2 linked regions of the Arabidopsis thaliana genome follow. Each later gene encodes a partner of the first gene's protein in a complex. Each region holds a gene or a part of one and is shown on either strand. Other genes may lie near its edges. The genes, in order: CLUB and TRS120.

Evidence for each region.
Region 2: CLUB (region 1) and TRS120 share a complex: the UniProt entries of both Arabidopsis thaliana proteins name them as parts of the multisubunit TRAPP (transport protein particle) II complex.

The regions. Positions count from the first base shown.
Region 1 is NC_003076.8:22,094,987-22,104,511, forward strand, and holds the start of CLUB (CLUB), read left to right. Parts: upstream 1-4,777; 5' UTR 4,778-5,069; coding exon 5,070-5,133; intron 5,134-5,526; coding exon 5,527-5,756; intron 5,757-6,028; coding exon 6,029-6,210; intron 6,211-6,570; coding exon 6,571-6,754; intron 6,755-7,026; coding exon 7,027-7,117; intron 7,118-7,339; coding exon 7,340-7,500; intron 7,501-7,613; coding exon 7,614-7,703; intron 7,704-7,797; coding exon 7,798-7,959; intron 7,960-8,248; coding exon 8,249-8,310; intron 8,311-8,541; coding exon 8,542-8,632; intron 8,633-8,873; coding exon 8,874-9,037; intron 9,038-9,192; coding exon 9,193-9,406; intron 9,407-9,504; coding exon 9,505-9,525. Other genes in the region: AT5G54420 (hypothetical protein (DUF295)), read left to right, coding at 818-1,093; PHOS32 (Adenine nucleotide alpha hydrolases-like superfamily protein), read right to left, coding at 2,841-2,896, 3,987-4,707. UniProt on the Arabidopsis thaliana protein: Specific subunit of the TRAPP II complex, a highly conserved vesicle tethering complex that is required for the proper transport of proteins in post-Golgi trafficking pathways to the growing cell plate in mitotic active cells.
Region 2 is NC_003076.8:3,490,482-3,502,634, reverse strand, and holds TRS120 (TRS120), read right to left. Parts: upstream 7,441-12,153; 5' UTR 7,304-7,440; coding exon 6,893-7,303; intron 6,701-6,892; coding exon 6,494-6,700; intron 6,387-6,493; coding exon 6,204-6,386; intron 6,021-6,203; coding exon 5,911-6,020; intron 5,838-5,910; coding exon 5,778-5,837; intron 5,301-5,777; coding exon 5,012-5,300; intron 4,851-5,011; coding exon 4,561-4,850; intron 4,259-4,560; coding exon 3,378-4,258; intron 3,267-3,377; coding exon 2,361-3,266; intron 2,249-2,360; coding exon 2,025-2,248; 3' UTR 1,690-2,024; downstream 1-1,689. Other genes in the region: MYB64 (myb domain protein 64), read right to left, coding at 1-8, 151-491; ALF4 (aberrant root formation protein), read left to right, coding at 7,485-7,649, 7,806-7,985, 8,084-8,233, 8,323-8,395, 8,720-8,886, 9,002-9,061, 9,175-9,325, 9,419-9,747 and 5 more. UniProt on the Arabidopsis thaliana protein: Specific subunit of the TRAPP II complex, a highly conserved vesicle tethering complex that is required for the proper transport of proteins in post-Golgi trafficking pathways to the growing cell plate in mitotic active cells.

The sequences.
Region 1 (9,525 bases):
AATAATCGTATACAGTAAGTGTGTATTTATGGGAGTATGTCACGTGATACTAGATGAGACGACTTTGGGAGGTGTAACAAATTAGACTGTCCTATAAAGGTAACGCGAGAATTACAACACTTGTTGTAGTTATCATGATGACAATATCTCCCATCAGTCGATATTCTTTTAATCTCTAAATATTCAGATGATGCTCTGTCTCTGTTTCGAATTCCATATAAACAAACAAATAATTAAGAATCAATAAAACAATCAACTTCAGTCTTCAGCCTATGAAGTATTTTTTCTGTTTCTTGTTTCTTTTATGATATATGACTATCTTATATATATAGTAACATTAATGTCCTTGATGACATATTTGCTAATTTTGAATTATACAGTAATTATAGTCCTTTTATTTATTTATACAATATTAGAGTATAGTTTAAAATTCTTACATTTAATTTGAAAAATTCTCATAAGGTCTCTCTATTCACATTTAAAGTTATAGTCTTTCACAACTTTTATCCAGATTTCACATTTATTTTATGCTGTTAAAATATTTATTTTCAATTATAATCAATCCACAATATTCTTTTATCACAACATGTTATAATACGTTGGGTTTGTATTAAATCGTTAAAGAAACGTTAAGTGTCAACGAACCACATCCTTAATTGAGAAGATTGACTGAGACGTAGAAGCGTGTTGTCTAGCATTCCTCTGTTTAGCATTCATCTGTTTCCAGTCTCTACAAGGGAGTACAAATTAAAATCTCGGAATTTTGTTTCCAACTTGCCCCAAGACTATCACTACAAAACCGTTTTGGTTAAGTGGTATGGTGAGAATGCAAACAAAAGCTGTAATGGTGTTCAAACTTGATGAAGAAGGAAACGCTTTTTACACTCAAGACATTGGGGATCTCTACATTTTCATCTCAAGGTCTGAACCTTTCTGTGTCCCGGCTAGCTCCTTTCCCGGCATGTTCTCTAACTTCGTTGAGCTCTTGGATGTTAACGAAAACGTTACTGTCGATCTGTCTGATTACTCCATGAATGGTGGATTTGGTTATTTCGGTGCACCAGCCCACATCCCACCTCAAAAACTAGACTAGTTCCATCTCAATCTCGCCAAGCAATAGACTAGTAGTAGTACACTATATTCCACTGTTACAACATGTTAACTATGTACCGGTTCTTAAATTAATTAGCTAATGACGTGTATGCTGTTTATGCGTTTGTTTGTTCCCTCATGTCAAACCATTACATTAGCTAATGACTTGTATGCTATTTATGCGTTTTTTTTGTTCCCTCATGTCAAACCATTCTCGTTGGTGTTAACATCTCAAGCCAATTGTCTCATTGAGTTTGTCAAGTTCTTGTATTGTATTTTCCCAGCCAATGCTTGGATTTCTAAGAGGCTGTTTCAGCTTTCTCTTCTAGAATCTATAGTTTTCGCGACCCAGTGGTTTTAGTTAAAGTGCTTTGAAGCCAAAACTAGGTGTTTTCAAGAATGGGGATACTGAAATTTGGACCGTGTCATGTTAGGAAGACTTGCTATAAGTACATAGAGGTTAGTGTGACCATTTCACCTCTTGGAATGTGAGTTTATCTGACTGTCTAGTGTTTGTGATGTAGAAGTCCATTATTCTTGTCTGTGTATCAGTCTAAACTAGATACTCAAAGGAACATTACATTTGCAAGAATATAGATTTGTACCAAAGAGCATTAGGATTAATCAAAATAGGACTACTGAGAACTGAAGGGACAGATTTGATGTCCATTGTTTGATCCGTGCCTCTCACAGTTGAACTTGTTTGTCAAATCAAGTTAAATTGTTTGTGAATTTAGCGTTGTATTATATGTGAGATCTATAGGTATATTTGTCATATGGTTTTCCGTATATTCATGCCCTGTTTCTGATTAAACAAACACTGAATCCAAAAAAAAAAAAATGATGTAAAAGGAAGAAATTTCTTGTACATATCCGCCGCGTGAAAAGATGTAAAATCCGATAATTATAGTCATCTACTCTAAATTTGCAAAAGAAATTAGACCTAATAACCAAACAAGTTTTACGAATTACCAAACATTTTTGTTTCTTTGGTTGTTTCATTTTTCTTTTTCTTTTGGAGAAATCCATCTTTCATAACTTCAATCCTTAGATTTACCTAAATTCCAACAAGTCAAACCAAAACCATAAATCAACCAAATCTTTATTTGATGTTACCATGTAACTAAATTCTAAAATACCAGTCTTTATTAAAGAAACGTATAATCCTTCTTCTTCCTAAAAGGGGTTCATTAATCATACAACTCCTTCATGTTTAATGCAGAAACCACTCAACACTCATTCATATTACATAACCCAAAGAAATTCATCAACATTGTCATAGCTAAAGAAAGAACACACATTCAACACTCCTCTGAACATTCCGCTAACACCCCTACTTGCTTTGTGTACCTTATTAATTCCAAAAACATGAAGAAGATAATCAAGAGACAGGTAGACCATATAAGCTTACAGATATCGTTGATGTGAGTTTTATATTACCTAGAAGAGAAGAGGGTGATATATTACTTAGATCCCACGAATCATCACTCATCTGTGACAGAAATACAGGAACAAAAAAGGAATAAGACATTGTCATTTGGTCAGATCATAGATATATCTACTGGAATAACACTTTATTCACAACACACATTTCACTGTTCGAAGATACACAGAGAGGGATCACTTAAAATATCATGCAGATTATACATTGCTAGTCGTGATGCAGTATGGTGGAGATAACAAATGTAACCTATAGATAATAGCCTTTTTACCTTATCAGTGTACATTCAGATCTTTTTACAAATTCACTAGGTAGCTCCGATCTTGTAACGTATACCAAATGCTCCAGAACTAACACCAGTGACTATCTTACAGAAGAAGCAATCTACGAAACTCAGTAACTTTATTTGACAAGTTTTCATCTGAACTTGTCATAAAAGTAAGAAGGTAGTGCCTACATCTCAGTTAGATTTGATATCTAAACATTACCCAAGAGTATAGATAAAAAAAATTTTGGCATGTTAACCAGATTCTTCCTACATATTCCCATTCTTTCCTAAATTTTCCTCTGTTAACATTGTAACCTTTCCTAGTCTGGACCAAAGCAAACAACAACAAAAAGTATAATTGAAGCTTCCTTTTTAGAACTACTGCACTATTTGATTTTCAATGTTTCATACAACAACAAGTATACAGTCACCAACTTACGAAATGAGGGGTTATAGAAGACATAATTTCTTATCTGCCTTTTCCCAAGTCAAGAATCATAATACTTGGATGCTAATGATACTTAATGTTGCCTCAAACTAAACCGAACAGAGGAAAAATAAATCAAACAAACTCACTTAGAAAAGTTTATCTTCAAGGGTCAAAAGAAACTTTCCTCTGGACTAGAGTACTTTTAATCTAAAGTCTAAACGCAATCAATGGGTAGTGTAAACAATGCAAGAAATAGAACGATGTCGGCGCTTCTTTGTCCCATGTGTAGGGGAACAATAATCTTCTAACATATATTACAGCAAATTAGCCATAACCACCAAAAATTATGATATATACTATACAACTAACTTCAGTAAATAGAAACAGTTTCGGCAGATGAAGAAGATATATACAAATTCATAGAACGAATACACTAAAGCTAGGAAATCATCTATGTACATGACCATCATCCTCAATTTTCGGGTAAGCAAGGCAATGAACATGGACAGCATTTCTCACTAAATCGACAAAATCATCTTAGTTCAGCTATAAAAGGATCTCATTTTCCTGTGCTACCATCTATGGCAATCTTTTTCACAACATATTCACGTGATCACAAAATTCACAACACTCACTACACTACTGAATCTAAATCTGACACATCAACAGAAACATCCATGAAAAAAATAACAACGAAAGCAGCTTATCTAATCAATCACTGAATCACATAGAGATAGAGATAATTGATCCCTGACCTTTGATGTGTTCATGATGAGCAGAAGCAGAAGCAGCAACAACATCTCCATCATCATCTCCACCAGACTTGACAGTAACAATAGGCACAGGTCCATCACGATCATCAGGATATCTAACCACAACAACAGGACAAACACAGTGATGAACACAGTAATCACTAACAGAGCCAAGCTTGCCATCACTTCCTCTTTTTTTCTCAGCACCAAAACCTCTACTTCCCATAATCACAGCACTAAGACCAAGCCTCTCAATCTCAAGACATAATCTCTCTCTCATATCATGATCTTTCACTATATGGATCTTATAAGGAAACCCTAACTCCTTCAACGGTTTAGCTAGATCCGCAACTTTTGTTGAAGTAAAAGCATCAAAATCCTCTTGACTAGGTTGAGGTTGAGCGTTTGGATCTTCAATTTGAGTTTTCAGAGGGAGAGGTCCCCAATCGGCACCGAAGAGGACGGAGGTTGGAGAAACGTGGAGAAGAACAACGGCGTCTCCGGGACGGATGTAGTGATCTACAGCCCAACGAACGGCGAAAGAGCTTTCTTCGGAGAGATCAACTGCGACTCCGATTTTACGACGAGCTCCGGCGGTTGGTGTTGGAGTTGCGGCGGAGGAGGGAGTAGATGAGGAGTGGTGATGGTGAGAGTGACGTGGAGATGGAGGGTGATGGATCTTGATGTTTGGAAGCTGTGGATGATCGGAATCTGCTGGATTCATGATTTTTTTCAGATGTTGTTTTTGTTCGTCGGAAAGTGGGAGTGAGGGAGGTTTCTCTTAACGGAGAAGAAAGAAGCGTTGTTTTTGTTTTTTTAATAGAACATTAGACTGCATGCCGTTATTTATATACAAAGACGACAAGCATTCTAATATAGATGTAGTTAATAGAAGGAGTGATCCAACGGTCAGGATCAAATCTGAGCGCCATAGTTTTGAAGAAGACGATTCACTAGATCTCCGGCGTCGGTGATTTCCTCCACTTCCTTTTCTGGCAGCTAGAAGACGAAACCTCACTCAAATTCTGATCTCTTTGTATAATTCGATCGAGTTATTCGTATGATTCGTATAGATCGGTGACTCAGATGGCGAACTACTTGGCTCAGTTCCAGACGATTAAGAATTCCTGCGATCGTCTCGTCGCCGCCGGTGAATTTCTCCCCAATTTTTTTCAAATGTGTACATTTCTAGGGGTTTTGTTTCTCTACGATTGCTGCATTCGATTAGGATCTTATTTCTCCTTTTTTTTTTCTGCCACATTTTGCGATGTCATAGCTATATATTAGTGGAAAGTTTCTCAATGTAGGTGAAGGATCAAATCAGATGATATGAATCTGTTAGGTTGTTGGTTGGTCAGGTTATACTCATGAATGAAGCTAAAAGTGCTTAGAAATGAGCATCCATTCCTGAAGGGAACTGATCATGATGATTTCTTTTGTTTCTGATCTTAAACTCTACTTGTTCGTTAGTATTAAGATGTCTTCTCTTTATATTGTTCCCGTTGCTCGTTGTAATAGTGGTTGCTTGCATATTCTTTTACAGTGGAAGATGTGTGTGATCTGTGGCCTACAGTGAAAGGTTTATTTGAAGAACATCAGCCATTAAAAAGAGCATTCTTGACTAACAAGACTCGAAATCCGGTTTTTGTTGAGAACTTGCCGGTTGAATTCATATTAACTACAGACGCGAGGCTTCGTAGTCGATTCCCGCAGGAGCAGTATTTGTTCTGGTTTCGAGAACCATACGCAACTATAGTTCTTGTCACATGTGAGGTACTTGCTTGTTGATATGATGATATGTGTTTTTTTTTTCTGTATCAATCTTGGCAGTGGAGAGTAGTCACGTGCCAAAATATGAAACAAAGATGATGTGCTTGATGATATTCGTTTCTGTTTTCCTTTTCTATAAGAGATAAGAACCTATGTTTAGATAGTAGGTACCGTTTCTAATGTATATGGTTTCTGGATTAGGTTAGATTTATCACTTATGTGGTTCGACAATTTTTGTTCTTCTAGCTTTTCTGAGTATACCTTTGACCTTGCAGGATCTTGATGAGTTTAAAAACATTCTCAAACCACGTCTGAAATTAATTGTTCAGAATGATGAGAGGGAATGGTTTATTGTATTTGTATCTAAAGCTCATCCAAGTAATGATCAAGCAACTAAAAATGTCAAGAAAGTATATGCGAAGCTTGAAGTTGACTTCAGTTCAAAAAAGAGAGAAAGGTAAGCTATGCAGATTGGACTGTGTTTATGTTTTTTTGCTCTGATACAAGCAGGCACGAACCGAAAAAATACCATGCCAGATTCCTAATGAGACTTGATTGCTCCTACTATAGTTCTAACATAAATAGATTAGGTTAAACAGTTTGCACGATTGCAATCACTCATATTTTTGCTAGATGCATAAACTAAACCCATTTAGCAGTAATCACTCATTTAAAGGAAGTTATCTTTAAGTTATATACTTATGGAAATGCAGACGGGATAAACGCTAAAACACCTTTTTATTTACTTGATCAGTTTTACTTCATTTATGCATGCCATACATAGTCTTCATATGATAATTTTTGCAATGCTTTTAAGGTGCTGTAAGCTGGATGTACATGGCCCTGAAGGAAATTTTTGGGAGGACCTTGAATTAAAGATTACCGAGTGCATCAGGAATACCTTGGATAGGCGCGCACAATTCTACGAGGATGAGATACGCAAGCTCAGTGAGCAGCGGTTTATGCCAATATGGAACTTTTGTAACTTTTTCATCCTGAAGGTTAGCTCTCTTCTCAATTTGTGAATGGAAAGTGACATGTGACTTCTACGCAAATGAATAAAATGGTTTAAAATCCTGTTTCTTCCTTTTTGTAGTTAGATTTTATACTTTTTTAATAAAGTCTCTGATGGAGATTTATGTGCCCCTTTTGTTTCTTCCATAGAAGTATGAAAATAATCCCCAAGCTTAGAAATCAACATTGGTCCTTGCAGTCACATTTGATGAAACTTTTCTCATTTTCTTAAAGGTCATAATGTTCTATGCTGTCTCAGGAAAGTTTGGCTTTCATATTTGAGATGGCTCATCTTCATGAAGATGCATTACGTGAATATGATGAACTAGAGCTCTGCTATTTGGAAACAGGTTCTTTTCCTACCTCTATATCTCTCTCTTGCAGATCCGTGGCAGCAAAAATTTCATGTTTTGTCTATTTGTTATATTTTATATTCTTAGGTTTTGACAAACCTGACATGTATCTTTATCTCTTAAAGCATTTGGGATCAGTATTCATCCAACAAACTGATTTCTTTTTTCAAGTTTTTTTTTTCTGAACAAATAATCTATCATGCATCACCTTCAATGCAGTTAATATGCCTGGGAAACAGAGGGATTTTGGAGGATTCGACGGTGAAGATGACCAAGCTGTGCTGCTGAAACCAGGAAGCAAACCATTGACACAGATTGTGCAAGATGATTCTTTTAGAGAATTCGAGTTTAGACAGTATCTCTTTGCCTGTCAATCTAGGGTTGGTGCACACAAGAGACATCATATCGATCACAGTGTCCTTTTCTCCTTTCAAAACTGTAGCTTTACTTTTACAACCTTTTCATTAGCTTACCTCTATGTGGTTCTTTGCAGCTGTTGTTCAAGTTGAATCGTCCATTTGAAGTTGCATCTAGGGGATATTCTTTTGTTATTAGTTTTGCAAAGGCCTTGACCCTTCATGAGGTAGCCTATACTGTTACTAAAGAAACGCTTATCTTACTTTTGGTTAGTTGATTTGACCGACCTTATTTCCTCTCTTCTTTTGATATTTTTGTAGAGTGTACTGCCCTTCTGTATGCGAGAAGTTTGGGTAATTACTGCATGTTTAGCGCTGATCGAAGCAACTGCTTCTCATCACCATGATGGCGTTGTTGCACCTGATATTGAGAAGGAATTTTTCCGTCTTCAGGGTGATCTCTATTCACTTTCACGGGTTAAGGTAGAAATCTGCTTGCTTTCAAAATATGTACAATGAACAAAACTTCCTATTTGCTGACATCCTCTTTCAATTATTGACTGGAATTTGAACCGAGGTCTCTGTTGAGTAATTTCTTTTGAGTTGATATTGCATTTGTCTGTGTCATAGTTCGGTAATTGTCTTATGTGATGTCTACTAGTTTCTTCATGTCCAATCACTTAAAAAGTTTTTTTGTTGGTTGCATATAACTACAATATGAAAATTATTTTCAAGTGCTTATACCCATTGAAATGCCTTTATGTCATGGCAGTTCATGAGACTTGGATATCTGATAGGATATGGAACAGACATCGAAAAGAGTCCACTGAACAGGTACGGGTCTATTTTTGTTATAGCATGTGCGTTACCTGTTATATAGAAGTATTAATTCTCCAATGACTTCCCGTAGAGAAAGGATTACGCAATTAGTGAGGAATTATATGTGTCACTTTAAATAAACAGAGCAAGTCTTTCTTTGCTGAAAAAAGCATGTCGATTTTTCTTTCTCTTTGGGAGGCTATGCTGATGATGTTTAGTAGTAACTCCTACCCATTTTATGGACAGTGCTTGTCTCAGTATGCTGCCTTGGCCAAAACCGGCTGTCTGGCCATCTCTTCCACAAGATGCTTCCTCGGAGGTGCTTGAAAAAGAAAAGGTATAATATACATATGCTGCGTGAATGTGTTATCTATCTGATAGCATTGTTATTGAAGCCAATCATGCTTTTAGATTCGAGCTAAGAGTTAGCTGTACTTGCATGGCCTCTAGTGGACACTGACATAATACCAGGGTATTGTTTGTAAATGTATTATATGCGAGATTTAGGGCTGCGTAACTATATTTACCATCTGTTTCGTTTTTCTTTTATAATACTTATCTCCTTTTTTTGGTAAAAGACTATTCTTCAAGCAACTTCAAGGACCAAGCACTTTGGTATTCAACGGAAAGCCTTACCTCTTGAACCATCTGTCCTTCTACGTGTGGCTAACAGAAGAAGGGCTTCTCTTTCAACCGGAAATATTCCTGAAATGTTTGATGGGCGCCCAAGTTTTACTGAAGGGTAATGAAATTTGTAAAATTCTTTTCTTTAGCCCTTCTTGTTTTCAAATTTGTTAGTACTTTAATCTCATATATCTTCGAAGTTTCCAGGAAGTATTGCAAATCATCACCTTCTGTTATAAGGAACTAAAATGATATCTTTATAAATTTCGACAGATCAGGTTTAGAAGCGTCTCCGAGAACACCTTCATCACTTAAAGTACAAGCACCTCCCATGTCAAGAACAAATTCTTCACCAGGAAATTTTGAGAGTCCCCTAGATAGGCCTATGAGGCTTGCTGAAATTTTTGTTGCAGCTGAGCACGCTCTACGACTTACCATTTCAGATCATGATTTGTTGAAGACATTGTCATCTATTCAGGATTTCGAGGTAGCCTGCTAATACCATTTACATAAGGACAATGAAGCTTCTGATTTTATGCTGCTCTTTATTCTAGCTTCTCATGTATATAAATTTTGTTGTGGCAGAATAAATATCTTAACCTAACC
Region 2 (12,153 bases), about 19 Mb from region 1:
TCAACTTCCTATATACATATATATAATGATTATACTCATTTTTTTGACAAAAATAAAATAAAATATATATCATATATAATGCAAACACAGTATTATGTAGAAGCATGAAGATCTACATATATAATTATAATATATAGTATATATATATACCTGTCTTCATCGGCTGTCCATTGCCCTTTGATGATATTCTTGTATGGTTGCTTCTTTGTTATATCCTTGCAAGTATAATCTTTAGCTGCACCTTTAACGACGATTTCTCCAATAACGGCCAAGTTTTTCTCCTTCCTCGGACCAAACATCATGTTCTCTTTGTTTTCATTTCTAATCTCAATCGCCCTTGTCGTCTTCACGATCGGTCGGTCTATAGAACGTTCTTGTTTCTTGAAGCACAAGGCTTCGTTCTTTTGGCCGTTCAAGAATCTCTCAACCGCCGTCAACGGTGGTGCAGCGCCGTGAGCGAGGCTCTTCTCTTGAATTTTCTGTTCTTCCATGGAAGAAAAAGGAGAAAAAGTTTAGTGTAGAATGGGGAGGTGAGACGAGAGCACAAAGGTGGGATAAAATTAAGCTGGTAATAAGGAATATGAGAATTTAATGGGAGGTAAAATAAAATGCACACTAATTACTAAATAAATTTCATTAATTATATTGACTTTTTAGTCAAAAATAGTATAACCCTTATAATAGTAAAAAATAGTCCTTCTAGTTATCGATACTTTGTAGTTTATAGAAATATATCAACTACACATCAAAAGTTATTACATGTATATATCTTAGAAGTAAGATAAAAAATAATCAAGACTACAAAATCTGAGACTTAGGAAAATATCACATATGGATTTTATCTATTTGACACTTAATATCGATCAAGTCAATATTTTTACGATGCCATTAATCTTTATTTAGATCAATATCTACGAACAATATAATGATATATTAGTCACATTATAGAAGTTAGAACAATGTTTAACTAAATATTTATGAATTTTATAAAGATTGTTCGGCCATAAATCTCACGTATGTAAGAAAATAGTGGGGATAATTAGTGAGTTAATAGTATAGGTTAATTGTTGAAACGTGTTTTTGTAAATGTGTAACCGACGAAGCGGCAAATGAGAAGACCTTCAATGATAAATTTACTTATGTAATAAATTAGTTAGTTGACTACAATTATTTGGAAGGATAAAATTTAGGAGAAGTCCCCAACAAAAATCTAGTAATATAACTAAAAAAATGCCAATAATCATACTCGCAAACATACATAGCTGGTGGGTGGTTTTTCCAAATTATTATTGGTACGTAGTAATTGACTAAAATATATTCATAACCTCATGAAAGCGTATTACAACCACAAAATGAAACCAAACTTCGTTCATGTCTTTCAGCCAAAAAGATAAATTGCACAGAATTTTAAAATAACAAACGCAATAGAATAGGACAATCCTCTTTAGCCAAAGATACTTTGTGTCAGTTTTTTTTTGCTTTAAATTAATAATCGTAACTATTTCTAAAGTAAATTATTGTATTATTTTTTAGTTATTGATTAATCCGTAAGGCCACTAATACACGACATACGAGCTTTGGGGAAACTTCACTGCCTTGTTTGATTATATCAATGAATGGTATTTATTTGACGGTGAAAGTTATGTCATTGCTCTGTGGACCTTTTCAATACACAATAGGGAAGGAATTCATGGTTAAATAGTTTTATTTTTGCTAATATTATGCTATAATCGTTTTATTCTTTTTATCACTGAAAGTGATCCCACTGAGCAGAGTACAAACACTTACTTTGAGAAAAGTAGTCTCAGAACCGAGGCCGTAAAATTCCAAAAAAGCATAGTCTATGCATGGTGGTCATAAGATGACCCAAGGTAAATACAGAGACAAACACACAAGCAATTATAGAGATATTTATAAAGACCCATACTTAAACCCGGAACTTATAATTGATTCTCGAGAAATCAACTAACAGAGCAAAAAACAGAGTATAAATTATAATGCCAAGACCTGATTTGGTTAACGAATCACAGTGCACCTCCAGCTACACAGACATGAAAAGGCGGTCCACGACAGAAGATGGGTTCGTTTGGAGAAGCAGTTCCTGCTCGTGCTCTGAGTACATTGTTAGCGTCTTCAATTACAGCAGCTGCTACCATCGTGTACTCTCCTGGAACAAGGAAGAAGAGTGAGAAACAGTGTCTTGCTTCTTGCAGCGGCGCTACTTCCATTGAGATTCCACTAAGAGCACCTGACAAAAGTATAAGCCACCTTTTACATATCTCATTGTAATACACACGGCTATAATGGCAGCAAATATCTATGTTACACAAATATTTATTACTTAGTGACAGGAATCTTACCAGCCCAGAGGACAGTGGCATCAGCTCCTTCAGTGCAGTTCTGTCCAGCTACATCTCTGCAAGTAACACTTAGATTCAACTTGATAGCTTCGCTAGTGTTATTGCGGACCAGAACCTCCATAGGAGTGACTTCATGTGACAGAACAGATCCCTTTGAAAATGGGGACTCAGCCTTTGTCTCAGGATCCTTCTCCAGACCGTTTCTGACCAGTCTGAAACCAAATGTTAGCGGATCTGGGAGCAAAACATCCATCACAGTCGTCTGGAGAGCTGTCTGAATTGCATCCTTGATGTCCAGTTCTCCTGAGCTGTTCCTTCCTGATTGCCACCGAACTTTTATCTTAGAGATGAGATTCTTGATCAATGTGTTTATCTCAGCTTTCGTGTTCTTCTCTGAGAAGCTCGGATTTCTACTACTTGAAGGGCTACCAGGTGGAGGGTCCTTTGTGAAGAATGAACCATCAAGAACCGGTAGCTTAAAATGCTCCAATGGAATCAGTACCCTAGCAGAATAGTCCCGGTCGATTCTTGTTTTCGGGTATTCATACTCTGGAGAATCTTGTACTGGTGAAGAATCATCTTCCTTGGCAGAGTTTTCCAGCTGAACGAAGACGCTGATTTCAAAAACAACATCTGTTGGGTTAGATAACTCAAGTTCAAGAAACCGTAGTCCCCAGCTTCCCCTAAAGGGATTGATCTTGACAAGGCTGTCTGCATTGCTCTCTCTTTCAATGTCTTCATCCCGAAGGTTGTCACTCACATGTGCAGGGATTTCCATGGAAAGCAAACGAGCTTTCACAAACGACAAACCTTGCAAAACACAAATTTGTAAGGGAACAACAAGCCGTCTGCCCGGTGGCACGATAGATTCTTTTTCTTGGGAATCCCCATTGTTAGACAATGGCCCTGCAAAAATATGAATACAAAAATGCTTTTAGTAATTAGTCATCGTGAGGATACATGAAGCACTGAAAAAGTAAGATACATAGAAACATACGTCAAGGAAGAAATGAATACCTGCGTAGTGAATAAGCAATGATGGACTGGTTCCGTCTTTTGGTCTTCCTGTGTTACCCGCAGCATTCCTGCCACTGCTCATAGTATTGTCAGAATCAGTTGGACCCACATGCCAAGCTTTTAAAGTCACAGGCAGAGTCACTTGTGCCCCAGGTTTCAAGGGAAGAGCAGACTGTAAAGCTTCATCTGCGATCGAGATAACAGCATCCTGATTCTTTCCAGAGAGCGAGACATGTGCCTGTACTATTGGAACTGTGCCAGCATTTGCAAAATTTATACACACCTCCCGAATTTCACCTTCATACAGAATAATTGCACCATCACCACCCACAACATTAGCCACAAGGAGGGGCAATGGAGGAGCAACTGATATGTTAGGAACAAATACATGTCGTAGCTTTGCAGATCCGCAGGATCTGAAAGGGTCAGAAAATACAAGTCCTTGTGCTGCTCCAAGAAGCAGATTGTCAACATCCCTGAACACATGTTCAGTGATTACACCAAAGCAGTGAACTGTGCAGCCTGGAATTGTCACTGGTCCTACAGCTGTTGGAATACCAGATAATGTGATCACTTTTGCAGAGTTAGGGGGAATGTCCACACTGACAGGAAACGCATCAAAGTTACTCGAGTGAGCTGAGAGATAAATACTATCAATCCGCAAATCGAAGCAACAAGGATTTGCTAACTCCACTAAGACCTGAACTGGTTCACCGACCACCCAAATCAATTCCTGCTTGCTACTTTCGTTGGCATCTCCTTTGCTGAAAGGAGTGTAAATAAATGGCCCAGAAGGAGCAGAGCCTGTCCACCAATCTTCTCTTGCTGGATTGCGTTTTACGATGTCCACTTGGGAGGAATGGAGTGGGAAAGAGAATAGCCTGAAATTTCATTAAAATAATCATGCTTAGAAGAACCATTAAAATTTGCCAAAACATACACAGTTTTGCCAGAGTCAGCTAAGAACCAAACATGGAACACATTCCTGAAAATAAACACATATTGGGCATATATGAAGCCCAAGAGATGGATTAAAAGAGATTATTACTTATTTTTCTGATCTCGTTGCTCTACTTAGAGTGCTAGGAAATATAACATGACCAAGTTAGGTTGTTTCATGATGGTGAGAGTGCACAAGCAAAACATCTCTGAGAGCAAAAAGGTTGACTGCTGATAAACATACCTTACAAAAGGCAAGGCAGGGTCAGCACAGCGAGTTCCAGAAGGTAATCTATCCGCTGAATTTGCAAGGGAATTAGCAAGTCCATTTTGACCTGAAGGTGTAATTAGAGGATAATGCCACCTCAGAAGCCTAGCTGCAGCACTCCATGCAGCTAAGGGATCTCCAGCACGAACAGCAGAGAGGAGTATCTCCCTAAGCACAACCATCTGCAAAGTGCTCCAATGGGACTCGAACAGGGAGACAATGGAATGATGATGCATTTTCCCAGCGTCAGGTAGGCGCCCAGTTTCCTTTACCAACAAACACAAGAGAAGATACAATATATTATCAAAGTATGATACATGGATAAATACCAAGATAGTGAAAAGTGATGATAACAAAAAAAACTCCAGAAAACCATGCTCAATCAAACACAAGAGAGGAAAAATAATGCCTATGCTGGCAAACTCACATTGTTAACCGACACTTTTGACATGGATGCCCTACTTTGAATTCTGTATGCATCAGTTGTCATAGAGAGAACTTGCATGGCACTGATAGCAGCCAATCGATTGTCTTGCTGCAAATACAATTGGGCGACCTGCCTACAGAAGAAGGCTGCTTTCCGTTGATAACCAAGGGCTCCAAATAAACGCGCTACTTCAACATATAATATGAGCCTATCACTGGCATCAATTAAAGACTTTGCACCATCAGCTGCATTTGTTAATAGCTCTACTACTTCCTTAGCCAGTTCCCTCCTGCACAACACATAAAATGACATTGTAAGAATGATTAAGATCAAAGATACCAAGAAAAAAATGAGGATGCAACCAGAAGGTTAAAAAAACATAAAAGCTGCCACAACCAGAGAGTATCATTTCATACTAAACGGAAAACCCATGTATTTTAGCTTTTTCAAAACGTAATAATTATTCTTTTCCCAGCTAACATCACCATCAATCACAAAACATTAACATACAGCCATCCTCCACTAGGCCACTTAATACTTAATAGTAATCTCAATATATTGGTATTATAAGTTGAATGTTGCAGATAGTTTTAGAGGATCAAAGCCACACACACACAAGATCCCATGAGTTTATATTTAAATTTTAGTAGCGATATAGCTTCCTACTAGACAAAAATACCATAGCAACCTTAAACTTAAGCAGGAGACGGCAAGAAAGGAAACCACACCATGATAATTTAAAGAAATAGAGAGCATACAATGATACCTGCAAAGGAATCTGGCCAGCTTAAGGGTAGCTTCGAGTTCAAAGCTTAGGGGCGAAACTCTGCAAGGAAGAGAATTGATTGCTATTACTTAAGTTTATCGAAGAAGAAAGCCAAACAGGTTGGTAGAATTACCTCTGAGCAATTTCTTGAATAAATGACTTTCTGTAGTGCAAGATAACATTAGTGTATCGATATCTAACTTCATCTTCTAAAGCCACATCACGTTGACCCATCCGATCTACCTAATATTAAGAAAACGGAAAACTAAGATGATTGCAAACTTAATTAAAGAGGGACAGATGAGAGCAATTTCATAATCAGTGCACTTTCGATAAACAGCACATCACTATCCATGTTTTTGGACTATAATACTATTAAAAATGTAAGAACAATGCATTTAGAGATATATTTGCATAAAGCCTTACCAGTAAGGCACAAACACTGCCTTCCAAGGCACCGGCATACCAGAAGTAATCTCCAGTCAATCTGGCCAGTTCCAGAGCAGTAGAATAATGAGCATTGGCATCAACAGGTGAACCAGCCAACAAGGAATAGTCTCCTATAGTTTTTTGTGCACGTCCCAGCCTACGCTTTTTGGCCTTAATAACCTGCATTAAACAAAACTAGTGAGCCTAGAAGACTATGCTAATAAGTTATAAGCTTCCAGAGGAAGAAATGAAACGTAGACCAAATTATAGGACACCTAGACATAAACCTCCTCTGAGTTGAGACTAGCTTGGGAATCCAAAGGCGTCTTCAAAATTGTGCCAGCAGATTCTGCCTGAAGAACCCACTTCTCAAATTCCATTAACAGCGAAGCGGCAATGTCTTGCATCATTGTTTGTAAATGAAACTCCTGAGTTTGCTTGTCAGATGGAGGAAACAAAATCAAATTTTCACCCTTCTTGTCTCCATCTTCAAGCTGCAAAAGACAGTACATTGTTCAGTAAATCGTCAATCTAACGCATCCATAAGCAAGTAACTAAATCACTGGTACAAAAAATGGACATCACTATCAACTGTAGAGACAAATCAGAAAAAAGCTAGCTAGATCCATCGGCATCGAGCTAAGAATGCCATAGCAGATAAGAAGCATGGAAACTAATATACTTACTTGCGAATCGCCAGGGGAGAAAGCGAAGCAGCGCCGGACAAGAGCCGAGGAATAACTCTTACAAGCGACATTGAATTTTTCAGTGACAGAATCAAGATCAGGGGACGAGGGACAGTGGCAAAGGCCGATCACGGCGAGCATCTTCCGATTAGACTGAAAATCCTCCCAAGGACTCGGAGGAGAACCACCAAGCACAAATTTGAACCGGAGAGAGCCGGAATCCCACGGCTGATTCGTGAATGGAGATTTCTGATGTTCAGTGTAGAAAGAGCTAATAGCTGAGAGCGCGATCGTGTGATGACGGAGCAGCATCGAGTGGTAGTCCCGGAGAAGCGTCGGCGGAATAGTGCCGATCGGAAGGACGGCGATCCGAATGATCGACAAAGTCTCGATACTGACGTCAGGTTCCATGGCGAGATCAGAGAAGGAGAGTGAGGATCTTTCGGTGAGCGTGAGTGCACCGGATCTGAAGGAGACGAAAACGAGAAAGTGTTGAGAGAGAGAACGTGGTCTGTTTGGGTACAGGTATTAAACTATTCTTAGTTAGAATTAGACTATCCGGGGTTAAACTCTATTCATATAACCAAACGATATGGTTAAATTCGCGATTATTAATACTCTCACTGTGAACGAAACTTGGGCGAAATTGAAAAGTTTTGGCGTTATGGAATCGTCCATTGAAGGGAGCTCCGAGTCAACTACTGTCACTACTTCTCCTTCGCGTCGTGTACGAGAACTTTTAGCTTTGTGTTTCAGTGTAAGCTTTCTCTCTTCTTCTTCTCCTCGTTTCGGGTTTGTGTAATTTGTTTTCTGGGTGGAATTTCTAGATGCTTTGAGATCGATGAATACTTAGCTGTTTCGTGATTTTTGGAGCTCGAATGAAAAATTCGCCGCTAATTTTGTGATTTTTCAGTCAGTTGAAGAAGCCGGAGGATTTCAAGACTTTGAGAGTTTTGTGACAGAACTTGTCAGCTGTTTGGATTCTTTGTATGAGAACGTAGCTTTGGATGCTAACAATGAACTGGAGAACGATGTTATTGAAGAAGTATTAGATGAAATTTTGAAAGTTTTATCATCTCCTCAAATGGATCAGGTACTTTTCAGTTTTCGAATCGCTTTCAAAGCCAAACGGAAGGATTTTGTTTAGAGAACCAAGCTTATGATTTTGTTCCCCGATTCATTTTATTACAGGATGTTATAGATGCACTGTCATTTCACTTGCCAAAAGTAACTTCCAAGTTTGCAGACATATCAAGCAGATGTTTACAGTTAGTTGAGGAAATCGTTGATCGGTTTGTGGAAGCATGCAATCCACGGGATATGCTTTCAATTCTTTGTGAGGTAATTGATCTGGAATTTCTTTTTCCTTCTTGGTATTTGGCATAAGAAGATTACAAGTTCTTTTTGATCACCTTATGACTCTGAACCAGGCACTCGATGCTGCACGGTGCTATCATTCAGCCTCCACTTGTTCTACTCCTTTATTGCATGGGCTCTCTAAAGGTACCAGTTGAAGATTTCTCGTTTTCAAGATATTTATAGACTCCTCTCATGAAAGTGAATTTTAGCCTGGCACCTGCAGTTTTAGTAATACTCTTGCTTTGATTGTACACAAGTATGAATATCCTAAAATTTATAGACTTCTCTCATGAAAGTGAATTTTAGCTTGGCACCTGCAATTTTAGTAATACTCTTGCTTTGATTGTACTTAAGTATGAATATCTTAAAGTTTGTGTTTGAATCCCTAACTAGTTTTGTTACTGAAGATATTAATTTAGTCTTCGTGAACTGAAGCAGTAAAAAGTTATTCAAATTTCCTGGTTTCAGTATTTATTTTGATCCAGAGGCGTCACTACGAGCAATTAAAGGTTGCAGTTCCAATTGTCCTGAACGTTTTGAAGGACATTTCATTGGAAACAGACGTGCAAGTTGAAGATTTATTTGATAAGGCTCTAGGCATTGCCTCTTCAATTCGAGACGTTTCTTCAAAACTGGTCTGTAAGTTTGATAAATTGGCAATTAGGATTCCCTAAATCACTACCCAAAGTGTAAATTCTCTAATTTGAATATTCGTTTTGCCTGATTTGATCTCTTTTCTTTGTTTTACAGAATAACGAAGAAGAAGCAAAAGTCCGTTGTCTACTTTGTCTCTATGTGATACAGATAACGGTTTGTACTTGATTCCAACTTTGTTTCGATATCATGGAACTTTTCTGACTTTTCTCTTTTATTATGAGCATATAGATTTTCTTCAATACCTTAGATTTGGTCTGGTTTTGCAGGCTATTATTTCAGTTAGCATCAGAGACAAAGCGGCCTCTTGTATTCCTCTGGTGATTCAGTTAGAACCGTTCTTGACATCCTGTGGTTTAACACATCTTGGTTTAATCACGGGGAATGACACTGAAAAATTAATGAGCACGGTTGCTGGAGGTTACTCTCAATACTCAAAAACACTTCTTCCTGATTTCTCAATAACACGCATCTGTTCTCGTATCACATGTCTCATGGTTGTAAAATGAACAGATGATGATGAGTTTATCACCTCTTTCCCTGACATCAGCTTGGGTGCATCGCTTTTATTCATCTGTGCAAAGATCTCCCATGAGGTTGCAGAGGCGGCTAATGCGGTTTTAGGAAGTGTTGTTGATGAGCTTCAAAACAATCCAGTGAAAAGGTGGCAAGCTTATGGGATGTTGAAATATATACTTTCCTCTGGAGATCTGCTCTGGGAATTCAAAAGACATGCTATCGAGTTCTTGCTTGACATAACAAAAGGAGTTACTTCATCTCAATGCAATGATGAGCAAATAGATTGTTCGGACTACACGCCTGGCATCTACGCTACTTTACAGGTGTAATATTCTTCTCCTTAATCTTTACACCATTCAGGTTTACCAATTACTAGCGCTCCAAGTGTCTCGTTTCTTTCAACCAGGCTGTTACATTACTGATCATGTATGCGCCAGACGCAGATCTGAGGAAAAAGACATTTGAGGCACTGAAGAGGGTAAATAAACCTTGACTTAATCAAAATTTGGATAACTGATTTTGAGTGACGCAGAATTGATACTATATGAAGCATGAATCCACAAAAAAAGAACGAACAACACAAACTTTTGAATGGCTTTTGTTTCCTCAAAATTCTGATTCTTTAGATCTATACTCGTTATTGATGTTTTTACACAGAAATGATGGTTTAACCAATTCAGATGATTTGACTTGTGCTGATTATATTTTATAAGTAGAAGAGGTATCAGCCAACTTTGACACAGAATGACTACCCTCAGTCCATATGCCTTGCTTTTCTTTCTTTTCATATACTTTTTTAAAAACATATCTTCTTCATTCAGAAATTTAGTTATCTATTGGGCTTGGTTAAAGTTTAAACAGAGATGATTAATAATCTCGTCTTACAATCTTACTTTTGTGCTGTTTGATTAGGTTCTTTCTGATATCCCAGCTCCTCATAGGTTTGACGTTTTAAGAGCCCTTGTCACAAATTCCCGGTCTCCTTCAATGGTTAGTATATTTGTATCCCACTGAGCTTTATGAATAGTAAATGCCATCATGGTCACCTTTGGCGTTGACCATTCATAAACTGCATAGTTTAATGTCTTCAGTAGTCATACTGAGATAATATTTTTAAACATTTGGTTCCAAAAGAGAAAGGTATCCCATTTCAACTAATATCTTTTGCTAAATCAACCAGACAGCAATCCTTCTGGGTCTAGTTAAAGACAGCATGAGCAAAAGCAGTTTGCAAGATACAGATTGTGCGGCTGTTGATACGCATGTTATTGAGCTAGTGGAGTTGGTCTTAAGGCCTCCACAGGGAGGTCCTCCACTCCTTCCGGACCAGAGTGATGCGGTGATCTTTTCTTTTCCTATATCAATTCTTTAAAAGTATGTTTTGTTTCTCTTTTCATGTGCATACTATAAGCCCTTTAGGCAATGCAATGATATGGGTTAAGGTAAATGCTTAAAAGGACAAACATTACATACATACCGAGAAATAGAGAAAATGCCCCTTTCTGTGCAAATGAGAGTAGCTTGCTTTTCTCGCTAATTAAGGAATTTTATGATGTTGCATTGTTTTCTAACTTGTCGTAAGGAAAACTGCGATAACAAAAGACCCCAGAATTTTCACTATTTATAAGAATCAGAGGGTCAGAACGAAAATAAGGAGAAACATGGTTGTGTTTGAAGATCGATTATTTAACCACATTTGTGTAACAAAAGTCTTTGTGTGATGTTTGTGCAGATCCTGGCGGCACTTAACCTCTACAGGTTTGCACTGTTATTTGAATCGAGAGGTAAAAAGTCGTATACCCTCTAAAATGTTAAAATGTCAAGTTGAAAATGTACTTTGCTTTATCTCATTTCCTTCCAAGTAAATGGAGGAAATCTGACTATTTAAAATATTGCAAATTAGTAGGCAGTGCGGTTTTGTCATTTCATCTCTCTTGTTCTTGTGGTGTTTTTCTGACAAGACAAAGCTATAGAATGTGAAGCAGGTAAAGAGAGAAGCAAAGTCGGCAGTGATATTTTGTCAAAGAAGAATCTGGAGAAAGCGTATAAGGAATGGCTTCTGCCTCTTCGAACTCTTGTGAGCTGCAGCATCGCTGAGAACCTCAAGGAGGATCATGGCCAAGAATCTTCACTCGACGATGTAGGGCTTCTGAACCCAATTGAATTGGTTCTATATCGATGCATCGAGCTCGTGGAAGAAAAGTTGAAAAGTCATTAGTCAAAAAAATAGTGAGAACTTCAATTGTAGGCTCATTGTTAGTTACAAAAAAAATTTGTTTGATATTTTCCTGCAACTTTGGTTATTCCAACTTGAGTCGTGGCACTTTGCTTGACCTATATTCATATTGATAAGTGATAACCCATTCACTTGTGAACCTGCTCCTGCTTCTACTTTCTTTCCAACTTTCATTTTTGCAAAAGAGTGTTGTGTTGTGTATTGCCAAGACCACAAGCCAAAGATTTCTATTTAGCAGGCTCAGTGATTGGTTTGGCTTAGGATCAGCCAATCATAATACTTGCATACAAAGTCTTGATCACCAAAGCGTGTTTTTTGGCTTATAGAATCTTTCAAAAGTAACTCAGACAAGTGTTTATCAGCTGGTGATCATGACTTGATCATAATACTTGCATACAAAGTCTTGGTTCACCTAATTAAGTTCCTACGCTTATGTCGACCCAATGGCTGGAGAAGGGAGCTATAAGCATCCGCAGAGCTGATAGTTATGTAG